Linked DNA regions of Oryzias latipes. The protein of the gene in region 2 purifies or fractionates together with the protein of the main gene of each other region. This does not show direct contact. Links are inferred from orthologs where the notes say so. Each region holds a gene or a part of one and is shown on either strand. Other genes may lie near its edges. The genes, in order: pdlim7 and bag3.

Evidence for each region.
Region 1: the proteins of bag3 (region 2) and pdlim7 purify together in Homo sapiens (affinity purification with mass spectrometry; 3 studies listed by BioGRID and IntAct, counting the BioPlex papers as one, with this or other methods). This does not show direct contact. The link is inferred for Oryzias latipes from reciprocal best matches to the Homo sapiens genes BAG3 and PDLIM7.

Annotation. Positions count from the first base shown.
Region 1 is NC_019868.2:19,535,217-19,539,035, forward strand, and holds part of pdlim7 (PDZ and LIM domain protein 7), read right to left. Parts: intron 2,001-3,819; coding exon 1,849-2,000; intron 1-1,848. UniProt on the Homo sapiens protein: May function as a scaffold on which the coordinated assembly of proteins can occur. May play a role as an adapter that, via its PDZ domain, localizes LIM-binding proteins to actin filaments of both skeletal muscle and nonmuscle tissues.
Region 2 is NC_019873.2:29,859,033-29,863,455, reverse strand, and holds the start of bag3 (BAG family molecular chaperone regulator 3), read right to left. Parts: upstream 3,119-4,423; 5' UTR 3,042-3,118; coding exon 2,871-3,041; intron 1,612-2,870; coding exon 1,279-1,611; intron 1,015-1,278; coding exon 697-1,014; intron 617-696; coding exon 38-616; 3' UTR 1-37. UniProt on the Homo sapiens protein: Co-chaperone and adapter protein that connects different classes of molecular chaperones including heat shock proteins 70 (HSP70s), e.g. HSPA1A/HSP70 or HSPA8/HSC70, and small heat shock proteins (sHSPs), e.g. HSPB8.

The DNA.
Region 1 (3,819 bases), on a different chromosome or scaffold from region 2:
GATTTGCTTTTCAAATCTCAGAATTGTTATGTGATGTAATTGTGCTAACAGCTTTTAATGAGACAAAACTCAACATCTTAAAAAACTGACAAAAGTGATGGCACAGCAACTATAAAAAAAATAAAAAACAAAACTTGAAAAACCTGCGGTCGTTCTCTCAAAATAAGTTCAAAAAAGAAAAGGTGTTGAAATGTAAAAGAAGAGACTCTTGGCAGGCAGTAGTAAGGTGAACAAGATAACACAGCTTTTCTCTTATTACTTACGAGGATCAAAAAAATCAAAATGAGTCCCATAAAAGCAGCAAGCTCATCTTTATTGCTCTAACAAGTCGATACCTTCTCATTTTCTGAAGGTTTTAGGCCCTTGAATGATTACATTTTTATCTCTCTTTGGGCCTAAAATCTTTTTTTATGTCCACACTGCAGATGAAACATTTCCTCTAGTCTTCAGAGAGACTTTATAAAAAGTATTTGCAGACTAATGTGTGCAAATTCTGCCGACGGGCATGCAGTCTGCTGCAAATTATTTTCTTACTGAATTTAAAAAAAAGTGCTTTTATGAGAAATTGCGTGTCCTTTTTGTGTGTTTCTGGTGCTTTTTCAGGATGTGAGGTTTTCTTTTGGAATAGTTTAGATTAAAAGAACAGAAGGTCAGCACACAGAGCCACCAGGAGCTGCTGTGGAAAAGAAGACAAATACTAGAGCTGGATGTAGAGATGAAATTGTGTGCATGCCTCAGTTAATAGCTTTTAATAAATCACTAGTTGTGCTTGACTTACACCTCAGACAATTATTAAACTGTGTTTTAAACACAGATTCCAGCTATATTTGAACTTTTTGTTGCATATTAAACCAGAGTGATGAGTTGTCAGAGTTTGTTCCTCTGGTAAAATGTAGGTTTTTTTTTATAAACCTGCAAAGGTCAAATGCTATAATTCAAACCATCTTTTAGTCCTTAACACCTCAAATAATTTTTCATATTTAAAATGAAAACCAGCCATTTCAAAGCTGATTTAATTGGATGCAAGTTTGTTTTACATTTGCCATAAAAAATATATTAAAGATGACTAAAGTGTAAGCTTAACCTGCTAATGTAAATGTTCCTGCACCTTTAGAATCAACAGAGGGAAATAATCAAATTAAACAAAAATTAAATCACTAAAATAATACAAAATAAAACAGAAGGCAATCTTAAACAAATCAGCACTTATGAAAACAAATGCTGTGCCCGTTTGAAAGAAGAAAAAAAAGGTTAAAATAATATTTTTTTTGTATTTTTGCTAGGCTTGTACAATTATTCACAAATTTATCATTATCGCGATTTCAGGCTGTGCAATATCCATATGGCAAAAGTCAGCAAAAATCACGATAAATGGTAAACCTTAAATGTGCTAAAACAATCTTATGGCAACTTGAACTCTTCAATGAATATAATAAATCCCTGTATGCATTTAACCAATCAGATGGAGCCCTTCACGTTGTTGACCAATCAGGTGGAGCTTTTATGTTAGATTTTCCCCTGCTAATTAAACAAAGGTCATTTGGAGAATAATCTAAGGTATTTTGACTCCTATTTAAATTAAACTTTTGCAGTGAAATGGAAATGTTTTTGTTGTTTTTGCCATTTGTTCGTTAAACGCAAGTTATATCGTCTCTGCAGTATTGATCACCAATATCGCATATTGCGAGTTTTCTTCATATCGTGCAGCCCTAATTTTTGCAATAATCTGTCAACGTAAAGCAAACTTGAAAGTTCCCTCAGTCTCATAAAAAGTGCCAGTGAGTGTTTTTTGAATATTTAGATTGTTGTGAGTCCATGGGAGGAATGAGAAATCCTGTTCCGGCTTACCTGCTGAGGGTGAGGGTGAGGGAGTCTGTTGCTGCTCTAATCTTGTTCTGTGCCTCCACATGAGTCATGTCTTCAGCATTGGCATCACAGATCGAAACCACCCAGTCTCCCACCCCGACTCCAGCCTGAGCCGCCTTTCCACCTGGAGTCAGCTGTGGAGGACAAAGATGCAGAAGTGATTTAGTGGGAGAAGATTATTAACAGAGTTATGAAATGAAACCCATATGACGGAGAAGCAACTTCAGCAGGTCAGAAAAAACATATAGGTAGCCGATAACGCAAAAAATGAATAAACAAGAATACATTTTTTTAAAACACGTAGATAAAATCTATTTATTACCAAGTAAAAAAAACTTTGTCTTTCCAGCAGATCTGGTGTGATTGTTACAGCTTAAAATAATAACTTATTCAAATCAGTACTTGTATCCCCCACTTTCTCACCTCTCTTCCTTTTACTCTCCCCCCCCCCCCCCCCCCCTCACATTCTTCCCCTCTCCCTCCCCACACACACTGAATTTAACAAATAAATAAAAAATAATACAACAAAAAGGGGTTTATACAAATCTACACCCTGGTTTCTCGAAGCTATATAACCTCTTTTTGTGATAGTAAAACCTGTCCAACACAAAAAGCCTTCAGCTCTAATCTGTTTGCTCAGCTGTTGGACAAAACAAGTTAAAGAAAAAAAAATCAAGTAAAAAAAAACTAATTGTGCATCTTTGCATGTTTTTTAAAGGTAATGCATCCATGTGAAAAATCCATGTTTTAATAAAAGTCATACATCAAATCAATCTTTATTTATAAAGCATTTTATGTTATAGAGTAATGCAATGTGTTTTACAGAATTAAAACATCTTTCTAAAAAGAAAAAAGGAGGACTAGGACTAGGGCTGCAGGATAGCAGAAAAACTTGCAATGTGTGATCTTAGTAGTCAATATTATTACATAATTTCCGTTTCCTTTCAACTGTTTTATTTAAATAGAAGTCAACTTAACTTAAATTATACTCCAAATGACCCACATAACATCTGATTGGTCAGCGACGTGAACGGGTCAGTCCGAATGGTCAAATCAAGAAAGGGTTTTTATTTGATTTGTTAAATACTTTAAGATCCCATGAGATCAATTTAGCATGTATGTTATAATTTGAGGTAACCATTTATCACAAAGGCTGAACTCATGATGCGATTTATTGTGCAGGCCTCGTAAGGAGTCATTTTTGGGTATATTTCTGTTTATTTTTAACTTAACTTAAGTGAAACTGAGTTTTAAGGGTTTCAATTGATCTGTAATAAATTGTAAAAGCTTTATTTTCCCAATCCTTTTTAGGTGCAATTTGATTTTAGAAAGTGTCAAAAGAAATGTGTTTTTCTTTTTTATTTGATTTATTTTGTTTGCTTATCTTATCGACAGAGATTCCTACAGAGTGTAGTAATAAGTCTCCTGTTTTTACAACGTTACCTCACAGTACCTCACATATACAGAAACACACTAAGTCATGTTCAGCTGGCTGTCTGTAACATCTGTTAGCACCCAATAATTAACAGGAGGAGCGTACCCGTCTGTTTCACTCAGCCTTTCCGCAAAACAGACATTATAAGGTCATCCTGATGTCATCCATCAACGGCAAACGATCGAGACCAGATGTGACTTAAGACTATGAAAGACGCGCTTGATAGCTGAAGAAAAGGTCCACATGTTATCGTTAGTCAGAGGCTTTACTGGAATCAAATGCATTCTCACTCATGACAGGCTGACAAAAGGATGACATCATCCCCTCACGCCGACAGGGAGGCTTGCAGGCGTGCGAGTCAGAGCTGGAGTCCTGTCGCGACAGGAGGGCCTGACATCACTTCAACCCAACATTCAGTGATGGTTCTGCACACGTGCACATACAGCACCGCCTTGATGTATGCTCTGCTGCACCGCGCAGAGACGAAACCATGTATTAGTAAGGGCTTAGTCAGCATA
Region 2 (4,423 bases):
AGTCCGCCGGCATCCTCTGCTCCTGAACGGGAGCTCCTCAGAAAATCTCCTTGGCCGTCACATAATGTTCCTTGGACTCTCCTCTGTCACCGTCCGCCGGCGTCTCACTGGTGGGCTTGGCTGGCCGCTCCTCCAGCTGTTCCAGCTCCTCCAGTATGGTCTGAACCCGCCGGACTCCATCGCGCCGGGCCTGCCGCACATCTGCGCGTCCCTCCGGGTCGACAGAGTCCAGAGCCAGCAGCTCTTTGGTCAGCAGCTCCTCCAGCAGCAGGTATTTCTTATCATTTTTCTTCCCGCTGAAAGCCTTGGCCTCCTGCTCCAGCGAAGCCACCCGTCCCACGATCTGCTGAACCTTCGCCAAGCCCGGGTGAACGGCGCCCTGCTCCCCCTCTGCTCTGGTTGGGGGGGCTTCAGGGCCGGCTGGGTCCTGAACCTCTGCTTTTGGAGGGATTTGAACCGTGATGTCTGCAACGTGATGCTGCGGCTCCTGGGACTGAGGCTGCTCCAGATGTGGAGCGTCCACCTCTGTGAGCTGCGGTTGAGGAACCGGCAGGTTCTCTGCTTTCTGCAGCTCCTGCTCCACTTTCTGGGCCGGGTCTCTAGTGAGGAGGTTCTGCTGAGATCCAAATAACAAAGTTACAGTTTTATGTCAGAATCTGGGACACGCTGGCAAAAGGAAAAGACCGGAAAGCCCACCTGCGGTCTGTCCGCCTGCAGCTGCGATACCGTCGGGGACTGGCTCCTAAGCGAAGGTGGGAGGCGGGCAGACGCTGCGTCCCGGTGCTGCGGGAACAGCGACGTCGGGGAAGCACTTTCCCGAGAAGACGGCGCCGCAGAGTAGGCGGGCCGTTCGTCTGTCTGGAGGCGCTGGTAGGGGGCGCGCTGAGAGTAGACGGCGGGGTTTACCTGAGGCGGACCCCCTCCGCCCTCATGGATGACTGGAATAGGAATGTAACCGGCCTGGAGGCCGGTGCTGCCGGGTCGACACGGTTGGTGGTGTGTGGCGGTGTGCACCTGAGCAGCAACACAGTCAGAACGCAGTGAACACGTTTGGTCGCACAAATGTTACCCGCTTCAGCTCATGCTGGTCCCTCACTAGATCGCCGGCCACCTTTTTATAGCCAATTTCCATTTTACTTCACAGCTCGCTATGTTCTGCATCCTGATTGGCTGTTGACCTTGTCAATCAATCTCCTCCGTGTATGAAATGCGTTATTTTGAAAACTCCCACTGTAATCAAGGGTGGCTGTCAGTGAAGAACCCAAATGTTACCCGTACCTCTGTGGTTGGCGGCGTGGGCGTGCTGGCCCTCCCGGGCTCAGAGGAGCAGCTGTCTGAGGCCACGTGTAACGGCGATCTGGGCCTGCCGTGAAGTCCGGAGGCGTGCGAAGGAGCCTGACCTTCGTACCGGACACTCTGCGCTGTGCTTGGCTGGATGTACGTACAGCAGGGATGCGGCGGCTGCTGCCGCAGCTCTGCGCCCTCATGGAAGACGGGGATGGGGATGTAGCCGGGCCGCAGAATCGGGTGCTTCATCTCTCGGGTAAAGGTCTTCTGGGTCTCCTTAGGATGTTGTTCTGGAGGTATGTTGGGTCCGTTTGCTTCTCTACTCTGAAATATAGGCAGGGGAAAGAATTTAGAACCAAAAAACCTTTAAATTCATTAAAAAAACACACACAAATCTCAGGTAAAAACTTTAAGACTTCCACCACTGATTCATCAGTGATATTTTGTATAATTGTGTATTTGTGCTTCTATAGTGCTTTTCTAAAGCCTAAAGTGCTTTACACACTCTGATGGGGGCAGAGCAAGGCCAGAATCAAACCCGAGACCTCCTAATCCAGAGTCAACCGCTCTACCTCTGCACCACAGCTGCTCACAAAGCCCCCGTCTCATGCTGCCTCCATGTTTTCCAGGTGTGTTTTCCAAATATAACGGTGCTTTGGGCCGTTGACGTCAGGTGAGCGTCTGTGCAGACGTCTGTGTTCGCGACCGTCCGGCCGCAGGTGGAAATCCTCCACAGATCCACGTTCTGCCTTCTCCAGATCCACGTTCCGCTTTCTCCAGATCCACGTTCCGCTTTCTCCAGATCCACGTTCCGCCTTCTCCAGATCCACGTTCCGCTTTCTCCAGATCCACGTTCCGCCTTCTCCGTCCCGGGTCACATTTCCTCACCCAGCAGCCAAAAGTGACGCTGCCCTGCCAGAACAACCTCTGCATTCCAGCCCGGCAGCTGCTAGTTTGCCTCCTGAAGATGTGTCCCTGTGCCCAGCGCCCCCCCCCTCTGACCCCCAACACGCCAACATCACACAGGACAGCACTTTTAATCTGAAGGAGACCAACTGTTTGTCTTTTTGAATGTTCTTTATGGAACAGGTCACCGCTGTGAACTATTTTCCTCCATGAAAACCGATCAGACAGGAAGAGAATTTAAAAATAAAAGCACGAGATGTCAGGAAGAAGTGAAGGAGCAGAGAGCAACAGGTCTGATGCCCCCCCCCCCTCCCCAACCAAAGGAGACCAAAACCTGGAGGAAAACGGTCAACAATCGGTACCCCGTCGGTGTCTCCTCCGGAACGACCCTTTGCCCTCTGCCCGGGACCGCCCGCCCAGCAGCCCCCGCCACACACAGCAGCCCAGCCGCGGTCCCTGCTGGGAAAATGACCTTAATGTGAAAACGGCCCCCCCGTCCCGGCCGCCACATACTGCAGGGTGACTCATCGCGTAATAATAGTTATGATGACACGAGGACATGGCGGGACCGATCAGCCGTTACCACCGACAATACAATGTTCCGCAGAAACAACCAACGCAGATTCCCCGCGAGCGCTTCCCGCCGGGGAAGCAACTTTGCCCGCGCGCTCCTTCACCTTTGTCGCGACGTGTCTCGGGTCATTCCAGGTTGTGGTTCGGTTGTTGTGATCCACGAAAAACGGCCATCCGGTCTGGGGGTCGATTTTGACCTCCCAGCCGAGGGGCAGGGGGTCGCTGTCGTTGTTAGCCATGGTCGGCGCGGGGGCGCGTGTCTGCACGGCGCTCATGCTGCTCGCGCTCCGGTACTAAGACATTTTATACGGGCGGCGGGCGCTTTAAAGACTCCGTGGAGTGACGTGGGGAAGTGGGCTGGAAGCTTCTGGAAATAGCAGGGTTAACTGTGGGGGCGGCAAGGGGGGCGGGGGGGGGGGGGGGGGCGGAGCTGCAGATCCAAGCCGGAGACCCCCACGAGGGTTTACCGAGAGCAGCTCCACCTGAAACGTGACGACGGACCGGAGAGCAGCGGAGACGACTCCATCAGAGCCCAGACGGGGGGGGGGGGCTAAACATGTTCAAAAACACATGCGTGCCTCCGGCGAGGAACACATGTTCAATGAGATTTGGTCACTAAATAAACTAGTCCAATTCTATTTTATCATTAAAAATGAGTAAAAATCTACAAACAAAATGAAAAATCAAAAGGTTCAAACACAACCCCCCCACAAAGAGACAGCTGCTTATAACATTACTCTGTTTTCCAGTCCAGACAAACATTTGCTTTCATCAATATTTCATATTAAAGCCGCTTTTTGGAATCTAAATTCTAGTGGATACTATCTAATGATTATGTTAAACATATATGAAGGATCTAAACTTTAAAACAACTTTAAAAGATTTAAAAACATACAAAGTAGTCATTCTAAATATGTGCAGCAAACAGCTGTTTGATTATCAAACTGATATTTGAAACCATTGTTATTTATAAATAGTTTAAATTATGTCAAATGCTGCAAAACAGGAGAGTAAATTATTCATGTTGAAAAAATTAATAAATAATTAGGAGTGTGACCATTAATTTTACCTCAATCCAGATGGAATTTTCTAATATTGATTTAATTGATTTTGACACGAGTTTATAATGGTATAGGTCCACTCGATTGTACAAATAGAAATTAATTAATATTAATTAACTATTAATTAACTAGATTAATAGTTAAACTCTTAATAATAATAATAATAATGTCCTTTATAAAGATAAGGCTAAGCTTTCTGTGACTCTATAAGGTCATGTCAGAGACTGTTTATGACTCACCATATATACTGGGATAAACTGTTTATGGGTTAGAGTTATTGTAAAATAATCCATTCTCCCTTTACTATACTGTTGTTATAAGGATAATCACATTAGTGTCGTGTGAATTAATTTTTTTTCTTTACATTTAAATTTTACACTAAATACATATTTTATTTATCTTCATCACTCCAAGGCTGCTGCAATTACATTGTATCACCATATACAATGACAATAAAATTATTCTGATTAGTCAAAAATCTGTAAAAAGAACTCTACAGGCTACACAAAGCCTAACTTTATAAAGCACACAGCATCAAGTCCGGACATTACAGCAGAGTTTAAACAGAAGAATAAAAATAACTCGATAGCTGAACA